2 linked regions of the Rattus norvegicus genome follow. The main gene of each other region encodes a partner of the protein of the gene in region 2 in a complex. Links are inferred from orthologs where the notes say so. Each region holds a gene or a part of one and is shown on either strand. Other genes may lie near its edges. The genes, in order: Csf1 and Csf1r.

Evidence for each region.
Region 1: the proteins of Csf1r (region 2) and Csf1 are in contact, whole or in part, in a crystal structure (PDB 3EJJ), measured with the Mus musculus proteins. The link is inferred for Rattus norvegicus from reciprocal best matches to the Homo sapiens genes CSF1R and CSF1. Residues at the interface, in NP_001032948.2 of Mus musculus: Arg142, Arg146, Leu149, Arg150, Lys151, Lys168, Val169, Leu170, Ser172, Asn173, Val231, Gly232, Phe233, Leu248, Ser250, Asp251, Phe252, Asp254, Asn255, Tyr257, Lys259; in NP_001107002.1 of Mus musculus: His38, His41, Met42, Gly44, Asn45, Gly46, His47, Phe87, Gln90, Asp91, Asp94, Arg98, Asp101, Glu110, Arg111, Gln113, Glu114, Leu115, Asn117.

The regions. Positions count from the first base shown.
Region 1 is NC_086020.1:198,066,439-198,081,924, reverse strand, and holds part of Csf1 (macrophage colony-stimulating factor 1), read left to right. Parts: intron 1-857; coding exon 858-977; intron 978-2,115; coding exon 2,116-2,178; intron 2,179-3,717; coding exon 3,718-3,888; intron 3,889-4,033; coding exon 4,034-4,114; intron 4,115-7,112; coding exon 7,113-7,260; intron 7,261-8,405; coding exon 8,406-9,519; intron 9,520-10,434; coding exon 10,435-10,487; intron 10,488-10,806; coding exon 10,807-10,865; intron 10,866-11,788; coding exon of another isoform or gene 11,789-11,833; exon of another isoform or gene 11,834-12,031; intron 12,032-14,441; coding exon 14,442-14,732; 3' UTR 14,733-15,486. UniProt on the Homo sapiens protein: Cytokine that plays an essential role in the regulation of survival, proliferation and differentiation of hematopoietic precursor cells, especially mononuclear phagocytes, such as macrophages and monocytes.
Region 2 is NC_086036.1:56,828,619-56,844,760, reverse strand, and holds the start of Csf1r (macrophage colony-stimulating factor 1 receptor precursor), read right to left. Parts: upstream 10,383-16,142; coding exon 10,334-10,382; intron 10,250-10,333; coding exon 10,219-10,249; intron 10,121-10,218; coding exon 10,081-10,120; intron 8,163-10,080; coding exon 8,102-8,162; intron 6,609-8,101; coding exon 6,351-6,608; intron 6,045-6,350; coding exon 5,760-6,044; intron 4,092-5,759; coding exon 3,955-4,091; intron 3,355-3,954; coding exon 3,195-3,354; intron 574-3,194; coding exon 387-573; intron 1-386. UniProt on the Homo sapiens protein: Tyrosine-protein kinase that acts as a cell-surface receptor for CSF1 and IL34 and plays an essential role in the regulation of survival, proliferation and differentiation of hematopoietic precursor cells, especially mononuclear phagocytes, such as macrophages and monocytes.

The sequences.
Region 1 (15,486 bases), on a different chromosome or scaffold from region 2:
GACCTGGTAAGGTGTCAGGAGCCAGACCTGTTACCCTGGGGACGAGCAGCTACTGAGCCAGATGGGTGTTGATGAAAGGGAGAGAACTTCCTTGCTGTGGCAAGAGCCTGCTGACTAGAGGAAGGGCCTGATGCGTCTCAGATAGGCAGATGCCAGCAGGGAGACACAGCATTGTCTTTGATTAGTCAGATGGACTCTTCTTGAACTGCAAGTTTAAGTCTCTAGGAGGTCTGCCACTCGCGTTGAGTTCCCAGTGCTTGGTCCCCTGTAGAACCTAACCTGTGGAACCAGGTGGGAAAGAAGGTAGGCACCAATGGTAATGAATGGTTCTGGCTTGCAATCTGAAAGCCAGCTTACAAGGTCTCGATTTGTCTCAGTGTTAAAGTTGAAAGACAGAAAACCTTACCCTTGAGTCTCTCAGTCACCAACACTTATATTGGTTGGTGCACCATTAGTATTATCATTAGACATCCTCTGTAAGCTGGAAAGATGGCTCATGATCTAAAGACACTTGTTCTTGCAGTGGATCCAGGTTCAAATCCCAGAACAACCATTCATACCTCTAGGTCCAGGGGATTCGAAGAGGCAAGCACATAGAGTGTGTACATGCAAGCAAGCAAAACATTCATAAACACAAAACAAAAATAAATAAGTCGTTTGAATTTTTTTAAGTTCTCTGTATTGTTGGGCTAACCTGGGTTAACCTAAGAAGAGTTAATCTTGGAGAAGATGGCATTTGGGTTATTATCAAGGGGAGAGTGAGCTGGTGCACTGGCTGATAAGAATCTAACTGGGGAGTGCTGCATTCTGGGAAGGGAGAGGAAGTGCTGGAAAGCCATGCCTTTCTCCTGTTACAGACATGGATGGGCTCCCGGCTGCTGCTGGTCTGTCTCCTCGTGAGCAGGAGTGTTGCCGAGGTGTCGGAGCACTGTAGCCACATGATTGGGAATGGACACCTACAGATTTTGCAGCAGTTGGTGAGTATGAGACCTCGCCTTCTCCTCATTAAGGAAACGGAGACAGCAGCCAGATGGCAGAGTCCAAGAGAGGGCTTAGAGAAAATAGTTAACTGGATAATGGCTATCCTGGTGTCTCATTGATCTTCTTGAGGTGAACACCTTAGCTCCTCCCAACCCTTTCATCTAGGTCTACTATAGTGAGTAGGATAGGCTTCTAACTGTTGCCTGAGTTAATGGTAGCCCAGGAATGTCCACTATGGATTCTAAAAGGCTCCTTGACCCTGCTCTGACTCAGACAATGCCTCCTTTGGGAAGTCAGCCTGGTCTGCCTGCTGGGTCCAGATGGTTTGTCCTGCTCCTAGATAGCTGGATCCCCTGACAGCCTGGCACCAGGGCCCCACCCAAATTTATATGGGAGGCTCTAACCTAACTCCCTGCCTTCTGCTTTTACTTCCCTGGCTCTTGCCCCTGAGGTTGGGGTATCCTGCTCATCTGGGCTGGGAAGGAACCCAGATCCCATTCTAATAGGCTTAAAGAATCATCAACAAGTCTAAAGGGTCATCTAGCCAGGCAGGATCCAGTTGTTGTCATGGCTTCTGCTCCTCTCACTAAAGAATGTATTGTCTTTCCACGAGCTTGGCAGGGTGGGGCAGCAGTGGGTAAGGTCATCTGCAGAGCCCTGAACTTGGGCCCTGGGGCTGAACCTCCCAATCTCCCTTCTTAACAGCACTCTCTGCGTGCAGCTTCCCTGGTCCATGGTGCCATCATGGTCTCTGAGGGTTAGAACATTGCTTCAGGGAGAGGCTGGGGCTAGAGACCCAGACTCCCCAGAACTTGGCCGGCCTCTCTTTGAGGCTTTTCACCATAGAGTGCTTACCACCTCCAGAAAAGATTACTTCCTATATTTTCCTAGAGATGCTTCTTCCTTATACAAACGAGACTGCGTGATTTCATAGGTCATAGAAGTGTCTGTCTGTTTTTAAGTCCTCTGAGCTTTTGGAAGATACAGCTTTTCCCCTAGCTGTAGCTCTGTCATTTTGGCATTGTTTTAGGGAGGTAAAGTTAAAATGTCATTCACCCCAAAACCTGGGTCCCCATCCTGAAGCTGAGCTGATCTATAGGTACCATGTAACTGCTGGCCTGTTCTATCTCACAGATCGACAGCCAAATGGAGACTGCATGCCTGATCGAATATAAATTTGTAGACCAGGAACAGCTGGTGAGTAGCAAGTGTTTGTAAGGCCCCGGGTGCTTAACTTTATATTCAGAGCCCATCCTGTGGTGGCATGGAACTGCATGAAAGCAGCAGAAAACCTAGAGCAGACAGGATGGGGATATGGGAATCCCTGGGTGCTTCAAGTGTCAAGTTCCAACTTTCAGGGCTGGGCAGAGTCCAGAGCTTAAGTCCTTTGCTGTTTTCATACTTTGACCTGGAAGAAATCAGGCACTTGCTAAATGCTAGGCACATTCCCCAATTAATCCTAACAGTACCATTCTGAGGTCCACGGATATTGCTTGTTACCCATGCAGAGATTCAGGAGCATACTTAGTGATAGAGGCCTAATTTGAACCCAGGAATGTTATACCATGTGCTTTATTTTTTTAGATCACATCTCCTCCAATCCATTAGCCAGAGAAAGGAAGACAGTCTAGCCTGGCTTTCTACCTCACACCTAACCTTAGGGTGCTGTCCCTTTATACTCCCCAGTCCCGAGGAAATTTTCAGGGGCTTCCTGACTTCCCTGATTCTAGGGCACTCTTCATCTTACCACTAGGGGGAGCCCTCTGAAACCCCAAAGCCTTCACTTATTTCTCCTTACCTGTCAGGAAGCCCATGGCTCTAGGAGAAAGCAGACAATCTAGTTCCAAGTCCACAGTACCCACCACACCCTATGTTCATTCATCTCTCTCCTTTGCTTTGTTCTGCTCCCCAGCTTTTCCATCAGCTCTTTGCGATGTCTTCCCATCACTTCCCATGTGCCCCATCGATCCCTGTGCCACACCTCCTATCTTCCAGCCTCAAGAGAACAATCAGGCTATCCAGAATCCCTTCCGTCTCTGAGCTCTCAGCACTAGACCATCTCTTCTTTGACCATGCCATGGTCTGCATAGTCTCAGGGCTCCATCCATCCATTCTCCTGCTCCTTCACCTATTCACTGGATCAGGCACTAGAGATGCAGAGATAAAAGTAGCTTCTGTCTTTAACCATTTTCGGTATCCTTGGAGACAAAATCCAAGGCTACGCTTTTGATAATAAGATAGTCCTCAGTATCTTTATATTTTGGAGGATTTAAAGGGGCCATATGGAAAAACAAAACAAAAACCAAAAAAACAAAACAAACAAACAAAAAAACTTTTGTGGAAGTAAGTTGAAAGGAGAGAGAGACAGACAGACAGAGAGAGAGAGAGACAGAGAGAGAGAGAGCGCACTAAGGGGCAGCAAGGCTGAATGAAACCCACCCTCCCCTGTGTGTCTCCTGACTAAAGCTGCATTTCAGAAATCCAACGCTCTCTCTAATCAGAATCTACTTTTCTGTCATGCTAGCCCAATTCTCAGTTATGGTTGATTTAAAGAAAGGTAATAAAAGACAGGCCTAGGGTATCATCATCCTCATCGCCAGGGTGGTATGTCCCTTCCTCAAGAGTACAGGAGGCAGGCTACAGCTCTCTATCTGCCTCGGGTGTGGTTGGTCGTCTGTCTCATATAAAGCCTGGCCACCATGGCCAGGGACTAAGCTCCTGGTTCCTGTATTCCAGGACGATCCCGTTTGCTACCTAAAGAAGGCCTTTGTTTTGGTACAAGTCATAATCGAGGAAACCATGCGCTTTAAAGACAACACCCCCAACGCCAACGCCACCGAGAGGCTACAGGAACTCTCTATGAAACTGAACAGCTGCTTTATCAAGGACTATAAGGAACAGAACGAGGTAGGGTGACTGGGGCAGGAGCACCAGGGAAGGGGCAGAGGGAGGCTGCAGAGGTCCCACCCTGCCTCATATGCTTGCCTTGCCTGAACCTCACTAACCTACTCCCTCGCCCATTCACTTCTTTACTCCATCCACCTTCATCAAGCATTCATTAGACAGAAGGCACAGTGTGGACCCTGAGGATATCCTTGGAACAAGAAATTCCCCTTCCCACCCTTACAGTGAGGTAGGCAGCTGTTAAATGATGACACCTGTAAATATAATCAAAAGGGTTCTTCCTCCATTCAGCAAAACCTTATTGAGTGGCCACTGTATATCAAGTGCTGTTCTGGACACCAGGAATGAGCTGTGATTTAAAAAAAAAAAAGTAAAAATCCCCACACTCATAAGAGAGCCAGCGAAAATGAGCAAGTGTGTGGACGGCTGATGGTGATAATAGCATTGGAGAAGAGTAGAGCAGGCGAGGGGAGCCCTGAGTAGTAGTGGGAGGAACAGGAACCTGAGACTGAGAGTGCAGTGAGGACCCTAACAGAATGAGGATGCAGATGGGAAGAGAAGGCAGCAAGAAGACTTTAACTGGTGCTCCAGCACGAGGAAGAGCAGTAGGAGCCACACACAGAGAAACATTCTGGAGTGAGGAGCACTACACTCAAGCCCTAGGGTAACCAGAGAGGTTCGCATTCAGAAGCCCAAAGGGCATGGGTCAGGCATGGGATGTTGACAGGAGGGAGCAAAGTCAGGAAGCACACCACTAATTCATGGTGTTGAAGAGGTGAGCTTTTTGTCTTAAATTTGAAAGAAGCCACCATAAACTAGAGTGACACGATGATATGATGGAAGGCCATCTGGTGGTGGACTGGTCAGTGGGAGGTTCAGCCAAGCTGAAGATGGTGGTGACTTGAATCAGAGCAGAGCAGGGAAAATGAAGGTGAGTGAGCGGGATCCCTCCAGACAGATAGGGTGTGATGCTTCCTGGGAAAAAGGGAAAGGGTGAGGCAGATGTTTTCATCTGGAGTCCCTGGAGCTCTCACTGATGTCAAAAGAAGGATGACCACAGGCAGAGTAGGTTTGAAGGAAGAGCTCAGTTTGGTGTGAGGCAAATCAGACAGCTGTAGTTGCTGCTTGTGACTGTGAATGATGGACACACAGACACTGTGTGTGGAACCACAGAACTGCACAGCCCAGTCCACCCTTCTCACCCTGGTAAGAGGAGAACGGGATCCAGGATCCTGAATGAAACACAAGCCTGAGGTAGGAGGAAAGCCTAGAGAGGGCAGCACCTCAGGGCTTCCAGATAGGAGGAGCCAGAAGCTTTATCAAAGGAGGCTGAGAAGTCAAGTAAGATAAGGGGTGACAGTGTCTGTTGGTCCATCTGATTTGGAAGCATGGAGATTGCTGTTGGAGGCAGATGGGGAGAAGAGAGAGGAAACAGAGACCACAAAGTAGAAACACTCTGCTCCCAAAGGGGACAGGAAACCAGATTTTCTGGAGTGGCTATATGGTTGAGGAAAGGATGGTTCTATACTGTGCAGCTATTCACCTAAAGAGCTTATTTGAAAATGCAGAGGCCCAGCATATACCGTTACAGACTCGACTTTCCTGGGCCCATCAGTGAGCCTGGGAATCTGCGTTTTGAGATGATGCCGCATCAATGGTTGAGATAGAAGCTCCTCAGTCTTCCCTGGGTCAATGACTATTCACTCAGTGCATGCTGAGTGGTGACTTGGGGGCAAGAAAGAGTGTAAGCCCAAGGAGCCAAGGCCAGCCACACTGCTCCGAAAAGGATTATGAGCTCCTAAACCAGCAGGCGCCTCCATGCTGAGAAAGCTTGGGTGTCAGGGTTCTAGGTGAGGATGCCAGGTTTCTTTTACAGCATATAAGGCCAGGGACATATGTAGGACAGAGGCAGCTGGCCTGCCTTAAGAGTTCCTGGGAGAGGCTGGTGTGCTGTTGTTCTAACATCACAAACAAGGGGATGAATCCGCATAAAGCCAGTCATCTGTCTGTTCTCACCTAGCTGCTGAGTGATGAAGCCAAGCCCAGGTCATTTCATTCATTCATTTGTCTAGTAACTGTTATAAGCATGCTATGGGAGGGCCAGAGAGATGCAGTGATGTAATCAAGGGAGCTGTAGTAGCCTTGGAAAACCTATTGGCCTTCCCAGAATAGCTCAACTTTAAGGGAGAGAGTTGGCATTCTGGAAATAGGCTGTAGGTGAGACTGTAACCACACACAGAACAGCTTGCTGTGAGAGGTGAGGTGGACCCAGAGCAGAACCCCGAGGCACTGCAGTATGTAGAAGGAACTCTGGCACAGAGCCTGAAGGAGCAGCTGGTGAGGAGGGAAGCACCCAGGAGGGCATGACTTCTCAGAGCTGCAGAGGGTGTGTGAGCACTTGGGCCAGTGCAGAAGAGAAATGCCATTCAGCAGGCAGGGCAGGGCATCCTCGGCACTTCCTCTAAAATGGGGCACCAGCAAGGACCTCATCTCTTCTGGTCTACCCAGGTCTGCTCTCTACACCACACCAAGATGATTTTCCTGAAAGATAAGTCTTATACCACGGACCACCTCCCCAGCAGGTTTTCAGTTTCCTGTTGGCTCTGTGGCTTACAAGTTCCTGGCAGAGCCAACGAGTTCTTGGTCTTGGCAGGGCTCTTTCCAGCTGTGTCTCTTGCCACTTTCTTCCTACATTGCAGAGCTGCAGCCTCTCCAGCCTTCTTTCAGTCTTTTGGCGTCTCATGCTTTCCTGTCCCAGGGTCCTTGCATCTTCTATCACCTCTACCCCCACTTCCTTCTCTTACCCTACTCAGCTTTTAGCTGATCCTTTTGGAGATCTTCTCCCTGGGCCCTCTTTTAGCACCTATTGGTTATACGCCTTCACATGGCTCAGGACACTCTCTTGGGAGCCACTGTGACTTGTAACAATGGGTTTAGTGCTAGTGTCTGCTGGACTTAGTGCCCAGCTTGGCTAGGAACCACGTCTCTTTTGTTCACTGCATAATGCCCAGGTAAATATATGGCAATATACCTGGCACTTACATATGTGTTAGATGGATGTCTGGAGAAATGACATCTCTCAACCTCAAGACTGATACTGCTGCAAAGCAGAGGAGATGTAAGGGAGGAAACAAAGGGGGAAAAGAGAAAACCTAAGAGAATTGGATAGAGATAACAGAGGAGGCCCATGTTCATGCTTACCAGAGGGGGCTTCACTCTTCTCCCAGGCCTGTGTCCAAACTTACAAAGAGAGTCCTCTCCGGTTGCTGGAGAAAATCAAGAATTTCTTTAACGAAACAAAGAATTTCCTTGAAAAGGACTGGAATATTTTTAGCAAGAACTGCAATGACAGCTTTGCTAAATGCTCTAGCAGAGGTAAGCACAGAAGGGGCCAGCTACAGGGAGGGTGTGTGCAAGGTGGGATATGGGATTGGGGGAATCCCAGAAGCAGCCTGGGTGCTAACTGTGTTTCTGTGTGTTTTGTGTACTCGTGTGGCTTCATGTACCTTAAGGTCCTGTGCACATGTCTTTGCTGACATGTGTGTGCATGCACACTGACTTATGCCTGCATGTACTGTTTCACTGCCAAACTTCATGTGGCAGCACCAAGAAGGCCCCTGCTGGTGGCCGTGATGGTAGTGAATGGGTAATGGGACCTTCCTCGGAAAGCCATAGGCATGGTGGCCTCCCCCCGGGCTCTGCAGGCTGGCTGAATAAATGGGGGTTCCGTGGAAAGAGCAGGAGCTCCACCTGGCAATCAGGGTCCTTGCTCCAGGAGCTTGGCTGCAAAACACTAGGATAACCTGGCTCCGGAAGTCCCCAGGATGCCTTGGATGTCCCCTCAAGGGACAAGGCTGGATTTGAAGTCTGAACATCATTCAAACTCTCTCTACCTGTGCACTCTGCGTGTACTCATCTCTGCATCCTGTGCCACGTGTGTCCTACGTTCAGCCTTACTCCCTAAGGCAGGGGCTGAGGTCCTGCAACCGGACAATAGCCAAGTCCAGCCTTAGTGCTTCAATTCTGAAATTCCAAACTTGGCTGCTTCCCAGCTCCCGGCCTTGTCCTGTCTGTGACAGCAGCTATGGTGGTTCCTCTCCTGGCTGTGCATGAAACCCGTGTCTTGGATGCCTTCAGTGTCTTGTATTAATCCAGGAGCTATTGCTCAGGCCCCTGGCCTGGGTGCTGCTAACCCCTGGCTTGGCCTCCGGCCAGCTAGAACCCTAGTACACTGTCCTGTGATCTTCCTCACCCCAAGTCCTGCTCTGTTTGTCTGTACCTTGCTTTTGGTCCCTAGTCCATGATACCCTGCATATTGATCCCTCATGCCTGAGTTCTGTGTCATGATCGTTTATTACTGTCCTGCCCTCTCCCCAGCCCCAGGGCTGTTAGAAGAGGGACCCCTTCCTATGCCCCAGAGCCTTATCCCCCTCTTAGCCCCTCTGGGGGAGCTGTGCTAGAGGCTGGTGACTCTATCTCCTCCCCATCTTTCTCTCTCCCCCTCTCTGTGGTTCTTTCAGATGTGGTGACCAAGCCTGATTGCAACTGCCTGTACCCTAAAGCCACCCCTAGCAGCGACCTGGCCTCTGCCTCCCCTCACCAGCCCCCTGCCCCCTCCATGGCCCCTCTGGCTGACTTGGCTTGGGATGATTCTCAGAGGACAGAGGGAAGCTCCCTCTTGCCCAGTGATCTGCCTCTTCGCATAGAGGACCCAGGCAGTGCTAAGCAGCGACCGCCCAGGAGTACCTGCCAGACCCTCGAGTCAACAGAGCAACCAAATCACGAGGACCCACAACCTCATCCTTCTGCGGGGGCCCCCATCCCTGGGGTGGAAGACATTATTGAATCTTCAATGGGCACTAACTGGGTCTTAGAAGAAGCTTCTGGAGAGGCTAGTGAGGGATTTTTGACCCAGGAAAGGAAGTTTTCCCCCTCCAATCCTGTAGGGGGCAGCATCCAGGCAGAGACTGACAGACCCTGGGCCCGCTCAGCATCTTCTCCATTCCCTAAATTAACAGAGGATCAACAGCCAACGAATATAACAGACACCCCGTTGACAGAGGTGAACCCTATGAGACCCACTGGCCAGACACTGAATAATACTCCTGAGAAGACGGATGGTTCATCTACACTGCGCGAAGACCAGCAGGAGCCACGCTCTCCCCATTTTGCCACACTGAATCCCCAACGAGTCGGCAACTCAGCCACCCCCTATGCTAAGTTACTGCCTCCCAAAAGCCACTCTTGGGGCATTGTACTGCCCCTTGGGGAGCTCGAGGGCAAGAAAAGTACTAGAGATCGAAGGAGCCCCGCAGAGCTGAAAGGAGGACCAGCAAGTGAGGGGGCAGCCAGGCCTGTGGCCCAAAGTACTAGAGATCGAAGGAGCCCCGCAGAGCTGAAAGGAGGACCAGCAAGTGAGGGGGCAGCCAGGCCTGTGGCCCGTTTTAATTCCATTCCTTTGACCGACACAGGCTCTTCTATTCAGGATCCCCAGACCTCTGCGTTTGTCTTCTGGGTGCTAGGCATCATCCTAGTCTTGCTGGCTGTCGGGGGCCTCCTGTTCTACAGTTGGAAGCGGAGGGTAAGGAGAACTCCGGGAGAAGAGGACATCCTATGGGGCAAGACAAAGGCTGGGTAGGTTACAGGCTGGAGGGTAGCCAGGTTCCAATAGGTTCTGCAGTTGCTGGAAGGTGGGGATGACAGCCCAAAGGGTAGAAGGTAGTGATGGAGTGTGGCTTCAAGAATTAGGAGCTACCAGGCGTGGTAGTGTGCATGTAGCCCTAGCAATCCAGAGGCACAGGCAGGCCTCTTTGGCCAGCCTGATCTACTGGTTGACAAAGCAGGTTTTAGGCTAGCCAAAGCTATATAAAGAGATCCTGTCGGAGAAATTAATTAATTAATTAATTAGGTCCCCAGCCTCCTGGAAATCATTAAGAAAGGATGAGTTCTAGACTAGCCAGAGCTACATAGAGAGATTCTGTCTGATTAATTAATTAATTAATTAATTAAAGAGCTCTCCAGCCTCCTTGAGATCATTAAGAAGGAACGAGAACAGAATCATGTTAAAAAGAGAATTCTTGGCTGGGAACTCAGAAGGCAGAGGCAGGCAGATCTCTGTGAGTTTGAGGTCAGCCTGAGCTACAGAGTGAGTTCCAGGGCAACCAGGGTTGTTACACAGAAATGAGAGCGAGAGAAAGCGAGAGAGAGAGAGAGAGAGAGAGAGAGAGAGAGAGAGAGAGAGAGAGAGAGAGAGAGAGGATGAGGGAATGAGAGAATGAAAGAATGAAAGAATGAAAGAATGAGAAAATGAGAGAATTTTAATACCAAGTGGGAGAGGAGAGGAAGGGAGAGGAATGCTATTCTGGGAGCTTGAGGGCCCATAGGTGGTGATCTACACAGGAGGGGACAGAAGAAGGAGTGCCCATCCTCAGAGGTCCAGGAATCTTCCTCAGCTGTGCATGCTTTGGAGCAGTGGGAGGAATTCTTGCAACTCAGTAACACTTAGGGGCATGCCAGCACCTCAGTAAGATAAATCTTTCTTGTTCTCAGAGCCATCGAGACCCTCGGACATTGGATTCTTCTGTGGGGCGACCAGAGGGCAGGTGAGCAGTTGGAGTGGGGCTGTAGGAGTCACTGCTGTCTGTCTTGGGACCTGTTTCCCCTCTAGATTGAAAGAGAGGCTTCTCCCCCTTGCCCTAAGTAAACAGAGCTGCAGAACAGAGTGGGTACAAAGAAAGAAGAGCCTCTCTTCTTCCCATGACAGTGGAGCTTTCTCCTGATTTCTTCCTAGAATTGAGCAGTTTGGGGTTTTCTAAATCTCATCCATATGGAACCCATATGCAAGTTGGGGATAAGCTAGTAGGTCCCCTCAGTTCCATGCTCCTGCTGAAGTCTTATGTCAACCCTGTGTTCCGCCTGCAGCTCCCTGGCCCAGGATGAGGACAGACAGGTGGAACTGCCAGTGTAGAAAGGATTCTAAGGTAAGGCTCTGACTTTGATATCTCTCTATCCCTTAAAAAAAACTAGGTACCCACCCCTGTTGTAGAAACCACCTGACTCCCAGGCGGTCCACACACTCTTGACTTCCTCTCCTCCACCCTACTCCCAAGTCCACTCATTCATCATCAAGTCTAGCTAGGCCCCTCTCTTCCAGGCCTCAGGTCTCCCCTTGTTCCTGAATCCCCTCCCCAGCTGAGACCAGTTACTGTGACCTCTTCATTATGTTTCTATTCTTGCTGTTGCTACATCTGATCCCAAAGCAACCACATTCCTCCTCCTCTAATGAGGCTTTTACAAGGTCTTTACCACCATGCAGAATTTTCACTAGCCTCTGCATGGCTGCCAGCCCCCTTCAATTACAAGCAATCCCAGCTTGGTACTGAGCCCTGACCTCCTCAGCATCCTCTTCTTACCAAACTGTGCCTTATCTGTTCCTGCTCCCAAGCCAAGGTTACTGCTGCCTCCCTGATTTAGGATCATGATGCCATAGAAATTTAGTCTTGGGAGAGCTGTCAAGAGGTCATTTGGCCCAGTGTCCCAGCTAAAAGGGCTACTCTGCACCCCCACAGGGAGTCAGCCAGCTTCCTGAACACACACACACACACACACACACACACACACACACACACACACACACACACACACACAGAGAGTTTCAGGCAAGTGCTCTGCATGCCAGTCTGCTCAACTACACACAACACTGGGGTCACAGCACACAACACTGGGGGAATTCCTTCCTTATGTGGGCAAAGCTGCCTTCCTTTCTCCCCTTTCCCGACCAGTCCTCTCTCATCTTCTCCTGAGGCCTGATATTTAAAGTCAGTTATTCATGTCCCCTTTAAAAATTCTCTGTGTTAAGTGTGACCAAGCCCCTCAAACATTCCTTATATGATATGGTTTTCAGACCCCTCACCATCCTGGACACACTCGTTTGTCAATGTCCCTCTGAAAATGTGGCGCCCAGCCCTGGACACAGTACTCCAGATGTTGTCTGACCAGCTCAGAGTACAGTGGGACGGTTGTCTTCCTTGATCTGGACAGTGCTCTTCTACTCATGCAGATTTAAGATCACATTAGTTTTAACAGCTGCATCATATATTGTCATATGTTGAGCTTGTAGTCTATTAAAAACCCCAGTTCTATTTCCCACGAGCCTCTGTCCAGCAGACCTTCGCCATCCCATACTCCCACACTTGGACACCTAACTGTTTTAGCCAAAGTGTAGTTGGAGCTCACCTTTGTTAAAACTCCTTGTTGTTTTTCTGTCCATGCCCTGAGCCTACGGAAAGTGTATTAGCTCCTACTTTGGTCACTTTATAACTCCTCGTTGGGTCCCCTGCACACTGATGCATGTCTTTTGTTGTCCTTGTCCACAGTGTTGATGGAGATGTGACCTGTATTCTTCCTCTCTATCTCCACCCACACCAGCCTGTCAGGAAGCTTTTCCTTCCTGAAGTATATCCCACATCCCTCTGGTTGTCCTTTTAATTCATACCCTTCTGCTCCTTTGTATATGGCTCATGCTATATCAATCCATACACATTTGGATGTTGTTTTATGTATTTTAAATCATATTTTATATGTATATGTAAATTTTGCCCTTCTAAGAAGATTGTAAGTCCCTAGAGGGCAGGAACTATCTTCCATTTTTTTCTGCACTTCATTTTCGATCCAGGATTTTAGTACAGACAGTGCCACCTCCATCCTCGTCAAAAATTTAGTAAATGTTGGTAGCTGGTTTCAGGTCTGAATCACCAATTAACCCTGGCCAGAATTCTCTAACTGATCAGCCTTCTGGGTGATTAACCAGCCAACTGATGAACTCATCTTGCCAGCTAGTTAGCTGACTGACTATTCAACTAACTAGCTGGTAACTACTTAACTGACTAATTTTTGATTGATGAGCTGATTGGCTAACCAGCTAGCAGAGTGCTTAGTTGATTTGCTAACTGACTGGATGGCAAAGTAGCTGTGTGATCTGTTGAAGTTTCCAGTTATACCCCTTGCCACATGTAAGCAAACTGTCCCGTGTGTAGGATGATGTGTCTCAGCTCTTCCCCAGACAGAGGAAATCTCACAGATGTTCAGAACCAGGGAGATTTATTTGGATTAAAGCAAGCAGCAACCCATATCTAGACTCTTGCAGACCCACTTGGCTGTAGTGTGGGTGGAGATGGGTGAGATGAATGAGCTGGCTCACTGGAGCAACTGCAAAGGATCCAGAGCCTCTCCAAACTGAATCAGGGAGTAAAGGTTGCCGCGGACTTTGGGGCTCAGTGCTGTGTTTCTGCCACCTGTATGACCTGGTTTCTCTGTACCCAGTTGTCCTTTACACACATCCTAACTCTCAGACCTGCCCAAGACTTCAAGTTTCTCACCTAAGGATTTCAAGATTTTACTCAGTTGGTTCAGATCTAAATTGGTCCCCATTCCAGGTTCAAGGAGTCTATGGGAACTGACTGACCAGTACTCTGACAAGAAGATGAGTGGGACACACAGAAGTGGGGACTAAGGGAAGGACACTAGGTTGCAGAAAACTCGGGTCCATGGTCCCAGGAAGCAGGAGTTGGGTCAGAGGCCAGAGCATGCCCTCTGCGGCCTTCTTCCCCAGTGGACCCTGCCAAAGCCTGTGGCCTGGCTATACCACAAGGCTCATGTCCAGTTTATAGTTCCTGCTTGTTTCCTATCCAAAGCCTGGGAATAGGCTGGGGGCCAAAGGCTGTAGGTCTCATCTTCCTTCCTTACCCATCACAGGCTTGACCAGTAGGGCTATGGACATTACTAGGGAGGCGCCACCCAGGGTCCAAAGTCAAACTGTTGGCTAGAGTCCAGGGGATTTCTGCTATGGAACAAAGAGTTCTGAGGATGCTGGGCAAGGGGACAAAGATGGGGGTGGGGTGGAGAGAGGGCAGGGCCCTGGCTTCCATGGATGACAAGAGGCAAGTCCTTCATCCCATCTGGGAGGAGGCTAGGCTACTCAGGGTGAGCATGCCTGTTGATAGGGCAAGCCCTCCCTTTTCCTGGCACTGTCTCTACCCTCTGCCCATCAAGCCCAATTTCTTTCTACTTGATTGCTTTTGAGCAAGTGTCTTCTGTGCAGACCCTCTCTAAGGCATGGTATGGAGGCATGAAAAATTCTTTGCTAGAGTTGGCAGAGATCCCCTTAGATCATTGGTCTAAGACTACTAAGATGGCCTTACCTGAGGAGTGGCCTAGTAGGGACATTCAAGAGCTTGTTCCCTGCTTCCATCTGCTTGAGCAATAAGCCTAGACCTCCTCCAGTCCTAGGCCCTCATTTTGTGGTCACTACTCTCCCAGGAGGAGAGGTAGGAGGTGAGGCCAGTCTGTCCAAAGGCTTGGACTGCTGCCAGGCAAAGCTGCCTGGTGTCTCTGTGGTGTCTGGGGTCACCTAGAGGGCCAAGGAAATGACCAGAGGAAGTCTTGCCTGAAGCCAGCCAACAACCCACAGGAATGCCACACCTCCCCCAACTATGTCCTCAGCGACCCTCCCCATACTCCCTCTGCTGACCAGCCTTCTTCCCTTCTTTTCCCTACAGCTGGGCACACAGGACTATCTCTTTATGGGAGGAGACATTATGGCAACGTCCACCACTACCCTCTCCTGTCATCTTCCTGGGAATGTGGTCTGCCACTACCAGAGCTCCTGCCTACCAAGACTGGATGAAAGCAGCTTTGATGGGGATCTTTCCATCCTAACCCTTAGACTCTCAACTAAAGAGAGAGGGCTGGAGGATGCCCCCAGTATCCTGCCACTATTTATTGTGGGCCCTGGAGGCTCGCTGCATTTGAGGAAGGGCAGCTCAACAGCTCAGGACCCTTTCCCTTAGGGGCTGTTCCCTCCTCTCAAAACCAGAACCTGGCAAGGGCCACACTAGCCTGTATGGCCCATGGGAGATCAGGACAGATGAGAAGGAGCAGAAGAGCCCTGTGCCCAGAAGACCCAACTGGTGCCAAGGAATCCCAACGTGGACAGGCAGGGGCCTGTTTCCCAAGAAGAGAGCCTGACATTCAAAGGGTGGGACAGCATCTGCCCAACTTCCCGTAAAGGCATAAAGGCACGAAGCCCAAAAAACGGGAAGAGGAGGCCTTTGGCTGCTTGTGATGACAGCTTAAAGGGGTCTACACCCTCAACTTGCCTAAGTGCCCTCTGCTGATAGCCAGGAAGGAGGGAGACCAGCCCTCCGGACCTATCTGACCTGGCTCATGATGCCAAGAGGAAGACTGAGCTCTAACCTCATCTCCTCCTGCCCATAGCCCCTGCCAGAGTTCTTTTGCCAGCAGAGGCACCCCTCATGAAGGAAGCCATTGCACTGTGAATACTGAACCTGCCTGCTGAACAGCCTGTCCAATCCATCCCTATGAGCGATCATCCGTCCGAATGTTCTCCCACTTCCTTCAACCTCTCCTCAGCTTCTTGCACTGAGCTGGCCTCACATGTTGACTGAGGGAGCCCCTAAGCCCGACCTTCCCCCGCCTCAGCCTTTGATTGTCCAGGGTGAAGCTGTGGGAGAACTGCCTGGGCTACCAGTCAGAGCTGGTCTTTAGGCTGTGTTCCTTACCCAGGTTTTTGCATCTTGCACT
Region 2 (16,142 bases):
GGGGGCTTGGAGGAAACATGTATCCTGAAAGTATCCCAGAGCCCAAGAAGAGGGCTGCTAGAAGGAGGCTCTAAAGAAAATTACTCCTTCCGCAAATGGATGATTGCGTCCCTCTGCCCCCTCCCCATGTGAATTTGGCAGGTGCCTCCTATGATTGTTTTCTCAAATACATCCTGGGGTGGGAAGTCATGATCATTTCCTACATTGGCCATGAGAAGGACAGATGAAGCTGAGAGGTTCCCAGGGACCCTGACAACATGGACCCCCAGAAATGGTAGAGTAGCTGAGGAAAATACTGGGCTCCCTGGTGACACAAGGCGTGGACACACACACACACACACACACACACACACACACACACGTGTGTGTGGGCTGACAGGTGGTACCTGTATGTGGTCCATTGGGTTCTAAACTCAAGATTGTGTGGGTCTTCAAAGAACGGCCCTAGGTAGGTCCAGTTGTAACGCTGTAGGCCAGGGTAGGCATCTGCAATGACTGTGAGGTCGAGGTTCTCACCCACAGACACCTCCTGCAAGAGGCTCTGCTCAGAGGTCAAGTTTAAGTAGGCACTCTCTAGAAATCAACACAGGAGATCCGGGTTAGTGGGGAGATGGCCTTCTTCATGTGTTCACTGGACCACCCGCCCCTTGACCCAGTGTCTGAGTATATTTGTACACCAGGTTCATAGCCTCCACCCCAGCCAGGACTCACCTCTGCCACCTCTTTTTCCCACTGCTGTCTATTCATCCACTCAACTGTCCAAACTCTTCCCACAACCTCAATTAACTCTGGACTCATCACCTTGGACCACTGGGGAAGCCTAATTTTCTCTCTGCTCCTCTCCCAGAACACCAGAACGTCCTGTTGACCCATCTTACCCAGGCTGACCAAGCCTTCCAACTGTTTCTCACCTCCTCCAGGAGAAACTCTAGGTCTTTACATGGGATCTCAGAGCTGTTGGACACTACCTGTCCCGCGCGACCTCGCCAGCAAGAATACGCGGGAATACACGAATCCTTCTGTAGCCAAAATGCTTATTATTTATTAATAATAGAGGGCGGCGGGGCGCCAGCATGGCGCGGCTTATATACACCCTAGCGAGGCGCATCCACACCTGATTGGTCACTTACCCATGATCTCATTAGGCACGCCCCGGAGTGGGCAAAGACCTGACACGAAGGCACTCTTGCACATGCGCACACAGTTAACTTCCTGAAAGGAAGTCGGCTGGTGTGGCGGAGGCCAGCGCCATCTTGTGTTTTGTTTTGTTTTGTTTTTTTCTTTTCTTTTTTTTTTCGGAGCTGGGGACCGAACCCAGGGCCTTGCGCTTGCTAGGCAAGCGCTCTACCACTGAGCTAAATCCCCAACCCCCAGCGCCATCTTGTAATGGTGAAACTATCTCGGCCTTCCACGTGGGGCGCAGTGGAAGCCAGCGCCATCTTGTGGTGGCGAATGTTATTGCGACCCTCTACAACTACCTGCCCAATTTACCTCTCTGACCTCATGTGGCACCTCTCATCATGCCAACACAACCCCATTGGTATGAATCTGGCACGTAGAGCCATCTTTTTTAAATATTTTATTTTATTTTATTAATGTGAGTATACTGTCACTCTCTTCAGACACACCAGAAGAGGACATTCAATTCCATTACAGATGGTTATGAGCCACCACATGGTTGCTGGGAATTGAACTCAGGTCCTCTGGAAGAACAGTCAGTGCTCTTAACCACTGAGCTATCTCTCCAGCCCTCTAGAGCTATCTTCATGGCACAACAGTTGCTCCATGAACTAGAGCTCTCTTGCCCAAGTGTCTGAGCTTGCCCTCCATCAACTTCAAGCCTGAACACACATCTGGGCAAAAGTTGAATGAGCACACACATTTATGGCATTGACTCCTGAATGCCTGCACTAGGAAGCATGTTGGCTGGTGGTGTAATAGGAGGACAACCTTTCGTGAGTTCTGGCTCTCTTCCCTTTACCTTGCAGCGTTTGGAGGAGCTCCGTGTGTGTGTGTGTGTGTGTGTGTGTGTGTGTGTGTGTGTGTGTGTGTGTGTGTACGCGCTCCAAGGCCACTAAGTCATGCTTCCTTCATCTCCTCCCTCTGACTCTCAGTCAGACATGGGTCTGTTAGCAGGCCACACTGCTAGAGCATACGCTGAGCCCCTTCTCCCCATGTAGAACTGCTGTGTAGTTGGCTTCTCAGCCTAGAATACCTCTGCTTCCAACTCAATAGCCAGGCAATAGGACATCTTAAGCCCATCATTCTTCATCGTTGTGGTTGGCACCCTCCCCACTTTCTATGTCTTAGTCTACATCCACCATTGTGGCTGCTCCCAGCATCCCATCTCTCCTTCATCCAGCACCAGGGTGAGCCTTCTGATACAGTATTTGCTTGCACACTCTAGGACCTCGCCAGAGCTTCTTCTAGGTTTTCTAAATGCTCTTGTTTACTATTAATATTCTCATTTTTTTCAGGTAAAGGAATTGAGACACAAAGAGGTTGTTCCATATAATGTTTGGCAGAGCCATGTTTGATGGTGTGCAGAAGTGTGTGCTCCTGACTGCCAAGTCCCTTCTGTGCAAGCCGAGCCCTGTGGAGACCTCAGCCCTGACCTCTCAACAGGGCGGAGTGCAAATTTTCCACCCACTCTGCTAAGGCTCCATCACCACCAGGCTCCTGCCTCAGCTTCACTCCCGCATCACCATTGCACCCACTCTCTATTTGCCAGGTGGGTTCTTAGCTGCTTTGGTGTCTCAAAGATGCTTGGGCTCTCTTCCCTTGAGGCTTGCACGCAGTGTATCTCTTCTAGATGCTCTGTTCCCTTCCTTTCTCACTGAGGCCCAGCAGCTCCCTGATCATCCACCTTGGCCCAGCTTAGAGGCCCCAGTTAGAGGGACCACTGATGTTTAAGGATACAATCATGGCAGAGAGGCACTGTCTGCTGGTGTGTTCATATGATACCCTAATGCTCAGAAATGAGTGACCCACATGAGCTGCAGTAGGGAGCAGCTGGGCACCGATCCCAGCCCAGAACAGAATACATTAAAGTAAACCATGACCCATGCTCTGCTGGAGGAAGTTGAGGGTCTAGGAAGTCTCCTAAGACGAGGCTCCAGGATTAAGCCGCCCTCTTTCCATCATCACCTTCATCTCCCGACAGTCACAGGCCTCCCCCATTGCCTGATGCTCACCCACCACCTGGAAGTTCATGGTGGCCGTGTTCGAGCCAGCTGCGTTGTTGGCCACACAGGAATATATGCCAGCATCTTGGAAGTCCACAGCATTGAGGTTAAGAGTCAGGACCTTTTTATAAGCGTTGTCTTGGAAGTCACTGTTTATGGGGATTTCCAACTGTAGACAGAAAGAAATGAGATGTTTTCGACAACCCAAAATTGTTTAGGATCTGAATTCAAATCCTCCACCTCTAAAACCATGCTCTGCCTGTGCATGGCAAGGGACTGAACTCTGAGTCTCAATTGCTTCATCTATAAAATGGGAGGAATCTCAGGCCCCTGCCCCTCTGTTAAAGTGAGAGTGGGTAGACTCACAAAGCAAGGGCTCAGGGCTGGAGCTGACACACGACTTACATGGGGGTGAGGAATCTAAGAGGTAACCTCTCCATTCCTTCCGAGGGACTCCTCATCTTCCCTCTCACTCAGTCTTTCCGAAATAACCACCATGCCTCCATACTTCTAAGGGAGCCTAGGAATTCCTCATTCTGTCTGCAGGGAGCTTTCCACAAGCTTCTGCAAAGGAACAAGCTAATCCCAGAAAGGGTTAGATTGCCACCCCTAGCAGCTGGAGCCAGCTGCTGTTGGCACGGGGTCTCAGACCCCTATTCCCTAGGCCACAGCCATGTCCCCAGCCCAGAAAGGTAGTTTGAGGTGAAGATTCCTTTGCTGAGAGGATGGGCAGATTTCACCTGGCCATCTCCTACCCCCAGGGACTGACCTTGGTGTCTCCACGTTTGAGGATAACGTTGAATTCAACTTCTGAGTGAGTGGCCGAGCACACGATCTGGGCAGCCTCCCCTCGAATCCTCACCAGCTTAGTAGGTTCCAATATGATGTGTGGGGGCCCTGGGTGGGCTGAGGCCAGAAACACAACCCATGAACCCCTAGATTCTCTGCTCAAGCTTCCATCATTCTCCCAATCCAAACCCTGGAGGGTGGCCCTGATACCTCAGTGTTCCCAACAAGCAAGTCCCCAGGAAGAGTCCGCTTTCTGTGTTACCCACTAACGCTGCTTCCCAGAACTGTTCTCAGCTTCCTGCCTCTCATTTCATCCCCCTCCTGGCAGCCAAAGTCAGGTCCCTTTCTTGGGCCCCTCACCTGTGTAAACATTCACCCTCAGAATAAAGCCAGTTCCTGACTGGACATGGTAGCACACACCTTTACATTTAGCACTTAGTAGGCACATGTAGGAGTTCTAGCCCAGTCAGAGCTAAATAGTGAGACCCTGTCTCAAAAATAAGGGGCCATGGGATGCTTGCTGTATACTCCACTGCAGCTAGAGGTCCATCACAGGGTAGCATCTGCCTTCTTTCCTATAGTCCTTTGCTTTCTATGCCTTGGAATGGTATCTACTCTTGTCCTGTCAATTTGGTGGTAGTGGTGGTGGTGGTGGTGGTGGTGGTGGTGGTGGTGGTGGTGGTGATGGTGGTGGTAGTGGTGTTGATGGTGGTGGTGGTGGTGATGGTGGTGGTAGTGGTGTTGATGGTGGTGGTGGTGGTTATGGTGGTGGAGTTGGTTGTACGGTGTTTAGTATGCAGGGCTGTGTATTAAACCCAAGGTAACTGTTCTTCTACTGAGCTACATCCCCAGCGTGTGTGTGTGTGTGTGTGTGTGTGTGTGTGTGTGTGTGTGTGTGTAACATAATTCTTATATGGAGATTCAAAGACTACCTTGGAGAGTCATCATGTAAGTCTCAAACTCAGGGATCAAACTCAGGTCTTCAGTCTTGGCAGCAAGGATCTTTACCATCTCACTGGTTCTTTAACAATCTTTTAAATTCCACTTACATATGTGTGTGTTTGTGTGAGTGCACACACATGTGTGCCTGCATGTGGCCACAGTGCCCATGTGGAGGTCAGAGGACAACTCCCTATAATAGAGGTTCTCTCCTCTACTACGAGAGTTCCAGGGATCCCACTTGGTCACTAGCCTTGGTGGCAAGTGGCTTAACATAACAAGCTAGCCCCTGGCGTTTTTTTGTTACTGGCTGTCATTATATAGCTCAGGCTGTTCAATGCTGGGAATACAGATCTCCTCCACTACGCTCAGTTCCAACTGGTGGCCGTTAGCCCCAAAGTTCTTCAGAGAGCTCGTGGGTAGAAGAATTACCCTCCCCACTACACCTCACCCTGGCCTTTCCTGGTTGCTTCTCCTACACAGCCTGATCAACCTTCTATTCTGCCTTTCTAGTATAATGTCTACTGTAAGTAGATGCTGCTTAGCGCCATGCCTGACACACAGAAGTCACAGAGCAAGCCTAAAAATTAAGCCTAGTATCCTGATGGGTGAAGACAGCCTGGACCAAGACACATGGAGGTCTACCTACAGGGAGGATTCATTTCCCAAATGCTCTTTAGCCAATTGCCCTGGTTAGCTCACCACAGCTGCCCTCGTGGTCAGATTCCCACCCAACACACCTCCCCCCACTTGCCCTGGAGAGAAACGAGCAGTTGAAAAAAGAGAGAGAGCCGTTTCTGTCCTCCCTCTACCCATGCCTGGCTGGGTTTTTCTCATCCTACTTACCTCGATTCACCTTAAGCCGGATGCCAATGGAGGTGGATTCCCTAGCGTTCACAACAGCCTTGCACATGTAGGTATGACTGTCAAGGAATTTAGCCTTGTGGATAATGAACCCTCGCCATGGTAAGAAGGAGTAGACCGTTTTGCGTGAGACTGGTCTGCCCCACTCCCTCACCAGTGAGACACTGTCCTTCAGTGTGGGGTCAGTGATCAGACAGGGCAGCACAGCTTCCTGGCCCTCAAACACTGTCACCTCCTGTGCTAGCAAATTCCAGGGCCGGACAGGATCTGGGAAGAGGAGGGGTCAAGGTGACAACTGAACATTAGTGACGGGAGGATCAAAAGCCTGGGCATTTGCCCCAAGTCACACTGTACTGGACCGTTCAGAGAACGGTTGGCCTCTGGAATCAGGTGCTTCTAAGGCACTTGTTGCTACGTGATCATGGGTAAAAGATTCAAGCCCACCAAGGCTCTGGAGAATGGAGGTAATCATAGAATTTACCTCACGAGCATTAGCACTGCTGTAGGTGCTTAGTCATGACCAATGCCAGTGGCTAGCCCTTCTGCCCAATATGGCGAGTTTAGAGTTCTCACCTTTGACGTACAAGTGGATGGCGGTACTGCCCCGCATAGGGTCTTCAAGCTCAGTACAACGGTAGGTCCCAGTGTTTTTGAAGGTGGCGTTTTTTGTGATCAGGATGCTTCCAGGAGATTCAGAGTCCAAGGTCCAGTAGGGAGAGATGGGGCCATCCCATTCCACACTGCCATTGCTCACACATCGCAGGGTCACTGTTGCACCTGGCTCTACAACCAGCTCTGGGCCACTAGGCTCGATGACAGGGGCCCCTTGACCTGGAGGAGGTGGCAGACACAAGTGAGGCCTGGGATGCACCCCAGGTGTTCCCCAACACTGGGCCATGCTTTGGAAGGGATAGTTCTGGTATGGAAATGAATCTGTATTCATAACTCTATTGACATCTGCCATGCCCAGGGGGCTCATCTCTGAGACTGGCCTGGGCACCTCCTTAGCCTCACATGTAGGCATCTCCACAAAACTATGGCAGCCCAGCTCTCTGTATCATTTCCCACCCCAGGAGAGGGCTCCATCATTCTCATGTACAAAGCGGGCTGTGACTGCATGCAAGCAATCACATGTAAGCAAGACAAGTTTCAAATAAGCAACTAGAGAAACAGATGGCCAAGCCCTGACTTTTCATTCGGGAAAGAAGAAAAGACACCTGAGTTCTTAGCTCAGAAGAAAGAAAGAGCTTCCAAGCGTCTCCTGCTGTCCCATTCCTTTCATTGGAGCATCAGGTCCCTGCACTGTGGGGTGGCCTGAGGCCATCTGTCCATCAGAGCCCTTGGTCTTTTCACCCACAAGTGCAGACAATGAGCCCATTTCCCCACCATGCTAAGCTGTTCTGGTGCCAGGAAACCTTTTGCCTCATCACCTGTTCCAGTAAAGTCTCACAGGGGGCTTGGATGCCACACTTATGAATGAGACTCCTGAGGTGCCCAGTCTGCCCTCGCTTCTCTGGGCCTGTTGGATTTCTTGGCAGCTAATCTCTTTTAAGGAAAATTTGCTTGAAGGAGAAAGGAGAACTCAAAACCCTTGTCAGGTCTTCGGGAAGGAGGCTCGTTGCCTGTGTAGTGTCAGCATTTTTTCCCAGGCTTGAAATAGGGGTAAAGGGGGGAAGTGAGAACTGATTCACAGCCTCTGAGGGCCTGGCAGGCACCCCTGGCCTGTGTGGGCGGAAACACATTGCTGGCACCCGGCTGGCCCTGGTTTCCGCCCAACCCATGGCCCTTCTACACTGGGGTTCTCACTTCTGCTTCCCTGGCCTCCTGGCCATTGTCCTTCTCACACAGTGAAGGACTCTTGGAGAGGGGGGACAATGTACTGGGTCTCAGAACACACTGTGCACAGCCTGTCTGTGCCACTGTCTTGTTTGCTGACCCCACAAGTCAACCCCTCCTACACAGTGACATGGCAGCCCCAAGGGCGTCAAGTCCTTAGCGTATTCCAGTGTTTCCTATCACCACTCTCAATGGGTACTACACACACACACACACACACACACACACACACACACACACACACACACACACAGGCTCCAGCCCAGAAATGGAAAGTCTCCTCTCCTAAATGACTTCAGCCTGGTTTAATGTCTGCTCTAATTCAAACCTACTAGAATCGTGGATCCACATGCCCAAGCTTCCAACCAGCTGGATGTAGAACAGAGGAGAATAGCGCCACTGCTGTGGCTCTCCTGGCAGTGATCAGGAGGAAGAGGCACAAGCTATTTCACCCTGGACTCACATTGACTATAGCTAGGGACTCTGACAGTCATTGACCCTCTGGACATCAGTGCTCCTCTGACCCATGAGAACAATCTCAGTGGTCACCTCGAGGGCAGCAGAGCATGAAAGTCCTCTTGCCCTGGCCTACTGTCCTCATACCACATTGCTAATGTCTCTCTTGTGCCTGCTACATGGGACCTTAACCCTTTACGTCACAGCATAGGACTTTGGGTTCTATGACTCGGCTCCTGCCTTACCTCCCAGACACTGTTCCTTTCCCCAAGGCTACTCTGCTCTGCTTATCTTTGTCTCCTGTCGTGGCCTCCAGGAAATGTGCTCTGGGAGAGGCTTCTGTCTTACTTCTCCCCAGCCTGTTGCCCTGGATATTTACACAGAACAGGGCTGAAACATTCCACGTAAGCCACACGGTGTTCTCACTTCCCACTGGCATGGTTGACGGGAGGGAAGCCCCACTCATCACTACCTTCTCTTGGATGAGCACCTGATGGCCACTGAGCCCCTGTTCCTGTCCATTCTCATCTCACATCTTCTCTTTCAAATTCTCCCCATGACCCAAACCCTCTCCTCTTTGTACTTGCAAAATGGACCGTCAGCTCCAGGAACTCCCCAACCTCCTGCACTCATGACTGACCACCACTCAAAGAGAAGAGACCAGTCTCTCTCTCAGTCTCTCTCTCTCTCTCTCTCTCTCTCTCTCTCTCTCTCTCCCTCCCTCCCTCCCTCCCTCCCTCCCTCTCCATCACCTCCCCTCTGTGTGTGTGTGTGTGTGTGTGTGTGTGTGTGTGTGTGTGTGTGACTCTAAGTGATACAACACCATTCCAGCTCCCACAAAAGCCCCCATGGTCCCACCCACTCATCAATAATCAGCCAGGTTAAAACCTTAGGCTTCCCACTGTTATCTCCCACCTTTTCTTCCTTTGGAGCTGGACACTGGACAGACAGATGCATGCACACACACAAACACGCACACACACGCACGCAAGCATGTATGCACTCAAACTCAATGCCCCACAAGCAGCCCTCAAGATAAAGACTGAATAAGCAGTGAATCAAAATCACAGGATTTTCTGGGACGTGAGGAATAACTGTTTCTTCCTTAGCTGAGTCAGGGCTGCATTAACATGCACATCTGTCACACGTCCTTCAGTGGTATTCTTAAGAATGCGTGCTTTCTAATGCATACCAATCCCATTCTACTAGGAATGTGTCAGTGCACAAGCCACTGAGTTCAGCTGAGCTAGCAAAAAGCCTTCAGTGGACTGTCATCTCACCAGAGGGCTAGAAGTACCAATTCCCCCAGGGACCAGAGTGAGACTATCCTTCCCCACCAAGTCCCATCTTCCCTCAAGGCCTTTTCAAATAAGCAGTGGGTTGGTATAGAGTGTGTGTGTGTGTGTGTGTGTGTGTGTGTGTGTGTGTGTGTGTGTGTTAGGCCAGATGGAGCCTAGATGTGATTCTTGGGCCATTCTGGGCCATTCATGTTAGTTCTCACCTCAGTCAGACCCTCTCCAAGATGGCAGTTTTAAGCAGCTTCCCCTGCCTGAGAAGTTGGGGGAGATACCTAGGAAGCCAGTGTCTGGGGAGACTCTCTCTGGCCTTTCCCCGGCCCTGCTCTAGCATTCTTATTTGCTTAATCACAGGATTTCTCGTTCACCCATGTTCTCCTTCAATTCCTATCCAAACTTTTCACCCTGGAGCCCTGGGCTAGAGAGGCCTCTTCTTTCCTCTACCCTGACCCTTTCTTTCATCCAAGCCTTCTAAGAAAGGGCCTTTCTGAGCCAGGTCCTACTTAACCAGAGCCTGCTGGGCTGTCCAGCTGGTGGGACCACTCAAGGAAGAGCTGAAAAGTTTACTGAGTAGCCCGACTCACAAGATTTTCTCAGAAATGTAAATCTCAGTCCTACCAAGACCTGTTAGAATCCACCTTCAAGGAGACTCCCAGGTAATTTCCCGTGTGCACAGGAGACAACCAAAAGCATTGCTCTCAAGTTGGGCCCACTACCGCCCTCCTGCCTGCCAGAAGGTAGATGTGGATGGTGGTCCTGAAAATACCAGGGCCACACTCAGAGCACACTGTGAGTCAAAGGTCAAGCTGAGACAAACCCACAGCACCAGCCGGGCTGGGTCCACCCACACTCACCTACTCTTCTCCCCAGATAAAATCTGCACTCCTATGCCAGAGAGGTGGAAGCGGAGAATGGGACAGCGATGCCCTCTTTGTAACAGTCCCCGAGCATCCCTTTTTCTGCCCTTACCATGCCAAGCTGTGGCCAGCAGCAGGACCAGAGGAGCCCCCAGCTCCATAGCCTCCAGGGGTTAGCGTGGGACGATGCAGGTTGGAAAGTCGGCTGGGCACAGGGCTCCCAGCTGCTAACTCTGTAGGGATGGGAACAGAGGAACACGTTCTTGTCTGTTGTAGTGGCTCCTCTTCCCCTTTTTTAGGTTGGCTGAAAGGGAACTACAGAGTTTGGAAATATTGGGTCTCTAGAAGAAAACAAAGTGCACACACACACACACACACACACCAGAGGAAGAGGCAGAATCTGAGGCCAGGCTCAACTGACCCTGCAGGGAGGCGATCAAGTTTGAGAGACTTAGGAAGCCACCTATAAGGGAACTTAGGAGAAAATCATAGCAAAGAGCAGCAGCCCATGAGTCAGGAGCATAAATAGGAGTCTCCAAGATGAGCTGAGAGAGGTCAGGTTAATTGGCCCTAAATTCTTCTGACCTTTCTCATCTGCCTTCAAGGCAGAAGGCCTCAAGATAAGGGTAACTGGGGATTTGGGCTTTGACAGTATCAAATCTCCTACAGCAGCGACTGGAAATTTCCATGAATTGTCCAAAACCAAAGTCATTCTAGGTTCCAAACATAGCAAGTCCTGTAGACAGATCACCCTCTGATGAGATTATCCCCCTAGGTGAGGACGGTCAGTCATCTTATGAGAAGAAATGAGGTTACCCCTAAATAGGAGCCATGGGAACCAAACTGTTCCCTCAAGCCCCGAAAGCCAGGAAAGACTCCTCTGGAACCAACTGGTAGAATTCAACAGCACCCACCATGAGCAGGACTCTTGCTCCCTGCACCAAGTCCTCTTATATTTAAACCTGAACCCTTCCCCAGAGACAGGCCCTCGGATGCTTTGATTCCTTTCCCGCGTTTAGCCGTCACTTCTCCTGTTTGATTTCTAGGACAAGTGGTCAGATCCTGATTTGCAGAGATTTGTCCTGGCTACCTAGGAGTCTCGTAATGATATTATGTAGCGCGTGTTTGCTGAGACTCAATCCCCAAACACCTTTGTAATCTTCTAAGCTGTCCCTTTTATGAACCACTGAGTTGACTGACAGCTGACTTCAGGATGCAGTCTGGTTACCTGAAAGACTAGTGAAGACTAGAACTTTCTGGTTAAAGTAGAGGTCCCTAGAGGAGGGCGTGTCCCTTCATCCCCAGATCTTCATCTGGGGGTGTCATACCTTTGTCATGTCCTGTATAAAAAACCAGTAGGGGGATGGAGAGATGACTCAGTGGTTACAAGTACGTATTGCTCTTGCAGAGGACTTAGGTTCAAATCCCATCACCCACATGGTGGCTCACAACCAACCACAGCCCCAGGAGACCCTACAGGCATGCGTGTGGTGCACATACATGGTACATTTAAAAAAAGTTCACATGTAAAGTGAGATGCTCTAGTGAATCAATGAAACCGACGGAGGACTGTGGTCCCCTAATCAAGAAGTGGGGTGAAGTGGAGACCAGGTTCCCGACTTAGGTACGAGCTCTCTCCAAGCAGATGGTGTGAGCATCCGACAGAATTAGAAGGCACTCAGCTGGTGTGTGCTGCAGGACGGATAGTTTGTTTGAGGTGAGGCATAATCCGCCCCTACCACACATATTTGCTTAGAGATTCTTCTGTGTTGAGAGAGAAAACAGGAGACTACGGCCTGTGGATTTCTATATCCTCAGTGGTAAGTTCTGTTTTCACTCTCATTTGCATATGGAGAGCCCGGGGTAAGAGAGGTCAAATACCTTTGAGCTTGTTCATAGTCACACAGCTATCAAGGAGATAAGGATGTAGAACCATCTGTGGCTATTTTTAGCAAGAAATCTATTGCGGTAGACTTCTATTCTTAAAGATCATTCCCTTGCCCTCTTCTTTCTTTATGTGTGATATGTGTGTGCCCGTGTCCGTGTGTGCGCACCTAGGTGTGTGTATGTGTGCGCCAGTCCATGGGAGTGAGTATGCATGTGAGTGAGGCCAGAGATCAATGCTGATGTCTGCCTCATTGCCTCTTCACATAGTGGCTAGACTAGCTGACCAGAAAGCCTCAGAAATCCTCCTATCTTGGCCTTTCCAACACTAAGATCACAGCTATGTGTCACCAGGCATGGCTTTTACTGGGTTGCTAAGGATCTGAACTCAGAGCCTCATGCTTGCATAGCAAGCACTTTACTGACTACGCCACCTCCCTGGCACATCCCTCACTTTTTAAAGACAATCGATGTCCTGTGTTTTAGTTGATTCTTTTTTCTTTTTTCTTTTTTCTTTTTTTTTTTTTACAATTTCATTCAGAAGATGAAAAACTCAGTGGAATACACAGTGCTGACAGAGTATCCCCAGGGGTGCAGAAAAGAAATCCCTGACAAAATCCAACATGCATTTAAGGTTTTAAAAAGTTCAACTAAGGTGGAGTGAAAAGGAAACACAGAGTGATTCAGAGCTCGCATGTGAAGGCACAGTTCATTCTGTGGCCAGACAGAAAGCGCTTCCTCTTTATCATGGCTGCCGCCGCCGCCTCCTCCTCCTCCTCTTCCTCCTCCTCCTCTTCCCCCCTGCTCCTCCTCCTCCTCTCCCCTCCTCCTCCTCCTCTTCCCTTCTCCTCCTTCCTCCTTCTCTTCCTCTTCTTCCTCCTTCTCTTCCTCTTCCCTCCTCCTCCTCTTCCTCCTCCTCTCCTTCCTCCTCCTTCCTCTCTTCATATTGTGTGAGAAATCTTAGCCAGAGTAACAAGGAAGGAAAAGAGAGAAGAATTCTTAATGAAAATGAAAAAGTAAAATAATCTCAATTTGTAGAAAACATGATATATATATGCTAAATAAACTACAAAAAATTAAATAAAATGAATGAATTAAATAAAGCTACAGAATACAAGCTCATCACTCAAAAACTAAGTTGTATGCCTATATTCTAGCAATGATCAAAAAAGGAAAATAAAACAGTTTTAATTTTTAGTACTTATTTTTAGTTATATACGCGTGCGTAGACCTATGTAAGGGACTGCAGCTGTCCACAGAGGCTGAGAGGCATTGGGTCTCCTGGAGCTGGAGTTTCAGGTGCCTCTGAGCAACCCAACATGGGTGCCAGGAACTGGGTTCAGGTCTTTTGCAAAGCCAGTCTTCTCTCTTTACCACGGAGCCATCTATCTCTCCAACCCACCTTATAATTTTGATTATATAATGAATATATAATCAAAATTTAATCTCAAGTAAGGCTGGTAATATGGCTCATTGGACAAAGGGGCTTGCTGCCAAGCCCAATGACCTACGTTTGAATAACGTTTTCATCTTCTGAGTGACCTGAATGGAGAGAACTGACTCTTGCAAGTTGTTCTTTAACTTCCACACGTGCAGGCACCAACACACACATAAACAAACAAATAAGTAAATAAGTGTAACTACCCGGGTGGTGGTGACACACAATCTGAAATCCCAGCACTTGGGAGGCAGAGGCCTACACAGTGGGTTTTAGGACAGCCAAGGCTACCCGGAGAAATGCTGTCTTGAAAAAACTAAATAAATATAACTAATCTTTTTTTCAATTGGGAATAAATGTAACCAAGGAAGCGCAGGACTTACATGCTGACTCATGAAACACGCCAGAAGTTCAGAAGGCCTTGAGGAAAGGGTTTCATGAGAAGACAATCATGATTTCAAGATGGCAGACTGTGTATCAGTACAATTCCAACCCAAAGCCCAGCAGTCATTTTTTTTTCTCCTGAAATAGAAAGGCTGACCGAAATTCATGTAGACTTTGAAGGGGCATTAAATGATTAAACCATTTTGAAAAAAAAGGACGAGGTTGGAAGAGTCACATGTCTCAATTTCAAAGGTTCTTACAAACCTATTGGAATCCAAACAGCATGGCGCAGGCTTGAGAGTAGACACAGAAAAAAAAAAAAAAAAAAAAGAAAAAGAAAAGGGTTGGGGTTGGGGATTTAGCTCAGTGGTAGAGCGCTTGCCTAGCAAGCGCAAGGCCCTGGGTTCGGTCCCCAGCTCCCAAAAAAAAGAAGAAAAGAAAAAGAAAAAAAGAGAGTAGACACAGACCAATGGAACGAAACCAGAATTCGAAACACAAACCCTCACAAGAGGGGCAAGACCATTTGACGTGGAAACAATGCTTCTTTCAACAAATCTATGAAGCAAACTGAAGCCCAAAGAACAAATATGGAGACCCTTATTTCACACCATATGCAAAAATTAACCCAAGATAAACTGAATTGAAGGGAAAGGATAGAACTCTAGAATAAAGTGCAGGGGTAATATTCATCACCGGAGTGAGAAATGGTTTCTTAGCCCTAAAACTCAAAAACAGAGGCAATCAAAGAAAAATTAGATTAGCTGGACTTGGTCAAAACTGAACATTTTGGGGCATCAAAGGACAATGTGAAGAGAATAAAAAAGAATAAAGAAACATAGGAAACAGAAGGAAATACTTGCCAATCCCTGCTGGACAAGGCTGTGTGCAGAGTGCCTGCATGTGTGCGCGCATACACACACACACACACACACACACACACACACACACACATGCACACATGTGTATATGAATGAAAGCTGTAATCTATAACGCAGTAACAAAAGGACAAACAATTCAAATTTAAAATGGGCAAAAAAAATTAAACAGACATTTCTTCAGAAAATATATACAAATGGCCGGCCCTCAAGTGGAAAGATACTCAGTCATGTAAGTCACTAAGGAAGTATAGACCAAACCACAATGAGATGATGTGTCACATTTACTACATTGGTCATCTTTAAAAAAAAAAAAAAAGAAGCAGAAAGGAACAGCGTACAGTGATTCATGCCTTTAATCCTAGCACTAGGTAGGCAGAGGAAGGCAGGTCTTTGTGAGTTCCAGGCTGGCCAGGGTTACACAGTAAGACCTTGTTTCAAATGAAAAAGGAAAAAAAAAAACCAATATTGATGCAGATACAGGCAAACCGGGACTCCCACACATCGCTAGTGGAAACTTAAATATGGTGCGGCTTCTATGGAAATTAGTTAGTTCCTCAAAAAGTTAGCAACAGAAGCCGGTCATGGTGGTGCATGCCTTTAATCCCAGCACTCGGAAGGTAGAAGCAGGCAGATGTCTGAGTTTGAGGCTAGCCTGATCTACAGAGCAAGTTCCAGGATAACCAGAGCTACACAGAGAAACCTTGTTTCAAAAAAATAAAAAAGTTTTTAAAAAGTTAGCAACAGAATTACCATATGAACAAGTATGGTTGGTTTTAATGTCAACTGACCAAATGAACAAAAAAACAAACAAACAACCCCCCCCCAAAAAAAAAAAAAAAAAAACACAGAATAGGGAGCTGCACCTGAGGAACCTTCCCAATTGTCATAATCAACGTGCCCTGACTGTGGGTGGTGCTTTCTGGTACTGACTCAGATAAAAAGGCACGGCAGAAAGGTTTCTTGCCTTTGGCTCTCTTGCCCTTTCTCTCACTGTCAAGTTGACTATGCTGCTGCTGCTGCTCCTACTAACAATGATGGTGACGATGGTGACAACGATGATTTCTTCAATGTTATCAGAACCAGCTTGTCCAGGCTTTCATTATGAACTAAGGACCGGCAGCTCTCCAGGAACCTTCTGGACACCAGAGTGGGTCTGCTGAGGCACCAGATTGTCCACCTCCACGGTGAGAGGTGGTCACTACGGGCCTATTCCAACTGCTGAGATTTCCAGCCCCAAGGACTGAGCGCCCAGGCCTCTCAGCTCTCAGCGTGAGTCGGTTGTTGTTACTATTTTAGCATTAGCTTATTTAATAAACCGCATTGGTTCCTTTCCTCTA